Drosophila melanogaster: one gene and its partner. The protein of the gene in region 1 interacts with the protein of each later gene in a biochemical or structural test. Each region holds a gene or a part of one and is shown on either strand. Other genes may lie near its edges. The genes, in order: plu and png.

Region 1 (3,382 bases):
TCAACGTCCATTTTGGAGTGCTTCAAGATTGAAGTGTTGTCCCAAACCATCTTGGGATTCTTGCGTAGGTGAAGCGGAAAACGCAGGCCCACCGTGACATTAATCGGAAGCTCATTTATGTCGCTGAAGCTGTCATCAAACTCAATGCCCACGTAGCCATATGTATCCTTTCCTATCAGCGCTTTATTCAATTCAGATGCGCTGGCAAAGGCCTTACTGCCAACGGCCTTCAGATCGTGAACCACATCCTCGATGACAGCAGCCAAGACTAGATTCTCAGGTGAGTAGTAAATGTACCTGGTTGGTTCATGTGGTGTTGTCAGGGTGGCCTGGACTATTGTGGCAATCGGCTTATACATACGGCACTTTGGTTGTGATGTTGACGGGCGGGTACTTCACCGACGTCTCCTCTTGCGGCTCTCGGAACAAAGCCGTCGCCGCATAAACGAGGAAGACTACGATGGGCCCCACAATGATGATCACGCTGGTTAGCGTATTGGAGAACTGGAAGCGGGCCGTCTTGCATATGACCAGCCACAGCAGGCATATGCTGCTCTGCGTCTTCACCGGCGATTCACCACTGGACATATTCGTACAATTTAGATGACGCCAACACGTAAACAGATTAGAAATATAACAAACTTCACGTATACTCCGCACTAAAACGTTCCGGCTTCCGTGTTTTCTTTTATTTTGTGGTTGATGTGAAAATTAAAGTCGAATCGGAAATCCGTTCCGGCAGGGAACGCTGCTAAGCTTACTTCTTCTTGGACACACCCACGGTGCGACCACGACGACCGGTGGTCTTGGTGTGCTGGCCACGCACACGGAGGCCCCAGTAGTGACGCAGACCACGGTGGGAGCGGATCTTCTTCAGACGCTCCAGATCGTCACGCAGCTTCGAGTCCAAGTTGGAGGAGGTCAGCTGCCAGTACTTGCCATCGATGATGTCCTTCTGCCTGTTGAGGAACCAGTTGGGCACCTTGTACTGCAGAGGGTTCGAGATGATGGTCACCACCTTGTCGACCTGCAAACATGGCATTTAGGTTGGTGTGCGTCTCGAACGGATTGGGCGTGCTCAACTTACCTCCTCCTCGGTGCACTCACCGGCGCGCTTGGTAAGATCGACATCGGCCTTCTTCAGCACAATGTTGGAGTAGCGGCGACCCACTCCCTTGATGGCGGTCATGGCGATGCCAACCTTGCGCTTGCCGTCGATGTTCGTATTCATGATACGCAGGATGTGCTGGAACTTCTCTGGGATGACGAGCGACTGCAAGAATGCAAAGAAAAAACATTAGTATAATGCATATAAACCACGCCATTTTTGCCAACAGCTAACGGCATTTGCAATTCACTATAAATTTGTCGTTTGGCGCTCAGAATCGCACATATTTGAGGTAACTCACCATTTTGCCGTTTGTATTCTCGTATTTACTCCTCACTGTAAAGAATTAAGAGGTATTTTGTTTTAGAATTTTGGAAAAATCAAATGGGCAGCACACCACTCACCGGAAACGGGAAAAGAAAAGAAGGCCGAATTAATGTGGCTGCCTGAGGCGGAGTAAAAAACCTAAAATTGCCTGCCACGTTCGGGACGCGTGCTGTTAATAGTTCGCCGTGTGCTGTTAGGCGCACTCTGGTCCATCACTAATGCAAATTTAAAAATTCAAAAGGCGCCGAACTTTTGTTCAATGAAAATGCTTAAAGTGCCATTTAGATATGCTCTGTGTGCACATTTAAAAAATTAAACTTCATATTTTATGTTTCTTTATATTTTATATTTTATTCCCCACATTTCGTAATACGTTTTATCGTACTGCATCCCTAGAGCACCGTTATATGAAAGCTTTTCAGAATGGGTGAAATAAATGGTAAATTATATTAGCTATGCGAATTTCCAATATTGATAAAAATGCATTGCATTTAAGCACTCAGCTGCGTTGGACAGGACGATGTCGTTTCCCTGCGCATCGTGTGCACCATGGCTCGCGACGGCAAGCAGCACAACCTCGAGGATGTGGACATGTACGGGAATACCGCCCTATTGAAGGCCTGCTATTTGGGTCGATTTGAGTGCGCTCGTACGCTGCTGGAATTCGGTGCAAATATCTTTGCTATGAACTATTTTGGTCAAAATGCCCTGACACTGGCCACTTATGCTGGGCATTTGACTTTAGTAAAGGAACTGTTGAGGCGAAGATCCTACAAGGATTTCAATCTGTCCTCGATGATCCCGGCCCTCTGTGTGGCTACACTGCAAAAACACTCCGCTTTGGTGGCCTATTTTACTCAATTGGATTCGAGGGGCGTGCAAGAAACTCAAACAGTGCATGGTTAGTAAAAATCAAGTGTATTTATATAGTAACATTAAAGTAAATTTATTTCAGGTCTGGGAGTTGCAGAGCTGCGAGGAATGATTAAAGCTGCAGGCCGCTTAGATAAGCGCAATGTGCGCTCTCCTCCCACTTTTATTAGCAATCGTCTGCGTTAATGTATTGTCATTTTGTAATAATTTATTAATTTTAATGTTTGAAATAAATATACTCTGTAAAAAGTGTGAACATAATATGTTAATCAAACCAGTTGGCAGGCCGCTCGCTGGCTGCTATCGATAGATTCAGTCGATATCGCCCGTGGCTTTTCACATCCCTATCCCGCTCATTTAGCCCGCCTGAAAGTAAAAAAAAAAAACAGCCCACGTTAATCATTCATCCCAAAGTCACAGCCGCGGTAACATTACTGCTGTTAAATTCTTAAGCCCGTCATCAGTATTTAAATAATAAAACACATTCAATATGTTCGAGGCACGCCTGGGTCAAGCCACCATCCTGAAGAAGATCTTGGATGCCATCAAGGATCTGCTCAATGAGGCAACCTTCGATTGCAGCGACTCCGGCATTCAGGTAAAAATTGCACAAAAAAGATTTTAAATGCATATCCCTAACACCTTGTTCAACTTACAGCTACAGGCCATGGACAACTCCCATGTGTCGCTTGTCTCGCTGACCCTGCGTTCCGATGGCTTCGACAAGTTTCGCTGCGACCGCAATCTCTCCATGGGCATGAATCTGGGCAGCATGGCCAAGATTCTGAAATGCGCCAACAACGAGGACAATGTGACGATGAAGGCGCAGGATAACGCCGACACTGTCACCATCATGTTCGAATCGGCTAACCAGGAGAAGGTATCGGACTACGAGATGAAACTGATGAACCTCGACCAGGAGCACCTGGGCATACCGGAGACAGACTTCTCGTGCGTGGTCCGCATGCCGGCCATGGAGTTCGCTCGCATCTGCCGCGATCTGGCGCAGTTCAGCGAATCCGTTGTGATCTGCTGCACCAAGGAGGGCGTCAAGTTCTCGGCCAGCGGCGATGT
Region 2 (3,839 bases), on another chromosome or scaffold:
CCACGACTTGTGAGCCGAAGCAGGCAGAGAGGGAGAGCAAGAACGCGGTCTGTCGTTCGCTGAGGGCAAAAGTTTCGAGTTAGTTGAAGGTGAGGGTGCTCGATCACCGATTTGCGGTGAGACGAAAGAAAAGTATGCATTGTTGCGTTGTAAAGAGAGCCGGCGCTCGTCTTGTTCACATTGTCGCTGAGAACGTATGTCGTTTTGATTCATTGTTCTAAGTCCACATATAACAATTACCAGAACAATATGGAATAATTATTTATTTTAGTAAATAATTACTATAGTCAATAATTGTTAGTTGTGCAAACTGCACTTTACACTTTGTGTTTAACTTTCACTATACTGTTGTAGTTTTTAGAACTTGCTATTCGTAGCTTGAAAGAAACACGTCTCCACCCGAAGACTGTGGAATGCCGAACGCGCGCTTTAATGCTATCTAAAATTGACTACGGACTGCCAATCTTCGGTTGGTGTGCTAAATCACACTTAAAAAAGCTACAAGTCCCATATCACGGAGCGGTCCGTCGCGCCATTCACGCATTTCCCACATCTCCAGTAGCGTGCACATTGGCAGAATCGGGTCTCCCGAGTATCCAATCACGCGTAGAAGAAACTACATTGATGCTTATCCCGAAGCTGTACACCACGTCAAACTGCCTGCTAACCAAAGACTTCGGAGCCATATTTAAACAAAAACGGAAATTCAAGTGCATATCCACCCTAAGACGTTGCGCCAACTACATCAAGCTACTTGACCTTCCCCTGCCTAAGCCCAGGAGGCCCTTCAAATCGCCAGCACTTTGGGGTTCCAAACAGCCTAACATAAACCTTCAAATATACAATGCTGCCAAAAAGGATACAGGTCGCCTAGAATACCAAAAACGTTTTATGAGCGCACAAGAAGATCTTGGTGTGAAAAACTGGATCTACACCGATGGTTCTAAAGTCACCGGCGCAACTACTTTTGCGGTTGTTGACTCTAACCGTAAAATAATTGCAGGAGGTAGGCTTCCGTCCTACAACTCCATATTTACAGCCGAAGCTTTCGCCATTCTCAAAGCATGCCAATTCGCTTCCAAAAACGCTGGAAAATCTGTTATCTGCACAGACAGCCTCTCCTCTCTTTCCGCTATACGCAACTGGAACCATAATGACCCCACAACACAAGAAGTTAGGCACATTCTAAGTTCTCACCCAAAAAAAATCACCTTACTCTGGGTTCCCAGTCATCAAGGTATTCATGGGAATGAACTTGCTGACAAAGCCGCCCAAGAGATGAGGCTTACACCATCAATCCTGTTCACTCCGTTTAACTCCAAGGACCTAAAAAGTCGAATCAAGTTATACCTCAAAGAAAAGAAACTCTCCGAATGGGCACTCTTCATGCACAGGTACCAGTCTATCAATCCGAATTGCATCATGTTCAAGCCACCAACGAACGTACATAAACGGGAATGCGCGACCTTTATCCGTCTACGCATCGGGCACACCCAATCCACACATCAACACTTACTGATGAGATCGGCGCGACCAACATGCCAACTATGCGGGGACGAGCTCACCGTTGACCATATTCTCAACGCCTGCAGTCAATTGCACTCAATTAGATCTCACTTATTTGGTACACATAGTCTCTCGAATTGTTTAAGTATCCCATCCTGTGAAAATATCTCAAAAATTTACAAATTTGTCCAAAAAGCTAAGTTTATTATATAAAGCAATTAACCCATAAGTCTCGAGTCGAAGGCCCCCGTAGCTAGTACTCATTAAATTTAATTAGGTTTAGTATTGTATACTATATTTAATTTTGTTAAATAAAATAAATAAAAATTTAGGATAGTCATACTTTTCACATGGATGGACTTTTTGAATGGGGTTAGTTCACGATGCGTTAGTTTGATTAATTAACCAGACTCTAATAACTTACTTTCATTGAGCACTGTTGCTGCTGGCCAGATGAGCAATTTTCATATGGGGTTTCCGAAGTTCCGAGTTTTCGGCTTTTTCCGATGGAACTGTGCATCTCTTGTTTCGAAGCAATCGATAGATGGCGCGCTTGCGCTTTTGCTGGCTAACTGTACATCAAGGCGGGATCGCGGATTACGCTTTCGGAACTCTGCGCACTCGAGATGGAACTGGGTGACTCTAAGCTGCGTGCGGTAAGGGTGCTGGGCCAGGGCACCTTTGGCCGGGTCTTCCTCTGCCACCAAAACGAGGTGCGCGGACAGCCGGAGAGGAAGGTGTGCGTGAAGCGGATCATCGTCCGGAATCCGAAGACAGAGTTGGGATTGATCAAGGAGGAGGTGTACATCATCTCGCAGCTGCGCCACCCGCACATCGTTGAGTTCCTGCGCTCCTTTAGCCACGCGGGCACTGTGAACATCGTGATGGAGTACGTGCCCAACGGCACCTTGAGGGATGTCATCCAGCAGCTGCCGTCAGGCACCGGGGGAGTCAATCAGGAGCGGCTGATGGGCTACTTCCGCGACATGGTAGTGGGACTCGAGTACCTGCACATCCGCTGCGTCATCCACCGAGACATCAAGCCCGAGAACATGCTCCTCGACGCCAACGACCGCGTCAAGATCGCCGACTTTGGGATCGCGAACGTTCATGCGCCCAGCACTCAACTGCAGGCGGGCATGGGCACGCCCATGTACATGGCCCCGGAGGCGATGTCCAGCCAGGGCAAGGTGGATTTCAAGTCGGACGTGTGGTCACTGGGGCTAGTCCTCTACGAGCTGTGCCTCGGACGCAGCCCCTTCGCCGCGTTTCTCGACAAGAACGCCACCCCTGCCCTACTGCACACCGTAGTCCAGGCGCTGGTCCGCCCCCGGCTCGACTGCCAGCTCATCCGGCGTCTCTACGATCCCGTGTGGGCGCAAGTTTGCGAGCTGATGGTCGTTTACGAGCAGGAGCGCCGCATCTGCCTACCAGACATCTTCCACCTCGACGCCGGCATGACTGTGACCCTCTACAAGCATTACTTCAGCTACAGCTACTAACGGAAGCCAATGGTCAGCTCACCAGCACGAGGAGACCTCAACAAATATTTCATTGTACTTAAGAACTAGGCTAGCTTAAGCGATAAATTAAGGTGTGTGCTGTGCTTTGTGTGCGCCTGTGCTTTTGCCAGGGGATCTGTCAGCTATAAACAGTATATAATGTATATTCCAAAACAGTCTCGCTCAATGTCATTAACGTAGTCTTTAATTTACATTTGTTCACCTATTGTACAGTAACATTAATCCTCTAAAGCTTCTGGCCCTGCTGCTGCAGCTGGATCTTACGCTTCAGACTCTTTACCAGGGCGTTCTGCTCCAGCTGCTGCTTACTCCTCTTGGGGGCTACCTGCTCATCCCCATCCGCATCGCCGTTTGCAGCGCCGCCCTCCCCCTGCTCCTTTCTGCGCTTTAACTTCTCGCCGATGATCTGCTGCATGCCCTTGGTGGGCTTGTAATGGGAGTGGGTGGGATCGATGTTGTACTCGTGCGACTTGTAAACGGCACTGAAGCGATTATCATTCAGGTTTACCTGGAAGTCGTCGTCCAGCTTCTCCGCATTCTGCGGCTGATTTTTCGATTTCTTTAACTTCTGACGACGCTTTCGCTTTGAACCGCTCGCTTCTTGCTCCTCCTTCTTGAGGATTTTGGTCAGACTGAAGTGTTGCTTCTCGTCGCGCCCGTCGCCATCGTCCAGCAGTAGCTCAAGCTCCTTCTCTTGCCGCTTCGCCTCGACGTCCTCCTCTCCATCGTCCTTTCCCTTCTTTTTCTTTTTCTTCTTGTCCTGCTTCGTTTTAGGGGGAGCGTAGTCTCCATTAGCGAACTCCTCGGCGA

What was found.
Region 2: of the proteins of plu (region 1) and png, one has a biochemical effect on the other in vitro, tested with the Drosophila melanogaster proteins (one study listed by BioGRID).

What each region holds. Positions count from the first base shown.
Region 1 is NT_033778.4:20,262,138-20,265,519, reverse strand, and holds plu (plutonium), read left to right. Parts: upstream 1-1,835; 5' UTR 1,836-1,858; coding exon 1,859-1,874; intron 1,875-1,931; coding exon 1,932-2,336; intron 2,337-2,390; coding exon 2,391-2,494; 3' UTR 2,495-2,562; downstream 2,563-3,382. Other genes in the region: CG8908 (uncharacterized protein), read right to left, coding at 1-297, 362-588; RpS18 (ribosomal protein S18), read right to left, coding at 758-1,027, 1,088-1,273, 1,410-1,412; PCNA (proliferating cell nuclear antigen), read left to right, coding at 2,799-2,906, 2,967-3,382. UniProt on the Drosophila melanogaster protein: Inhibits DNA replication early in developments. May bind and block the action of a replication or initiation factor.
Region 2 is NC_004354.4:1,355,827-1,359,665, reverse strand, and holds png (pan gu), read left to right. Parts: upstream 1-2,064; 5' UTR 2,065-2,132; coding exon 2,133-3,008; 3' UTR 3,009-3,178; downstream 3,179-3,839. Other genes in the region: CG11417 (uncharacterized protein), read right to left, coding at 3,256-3,839.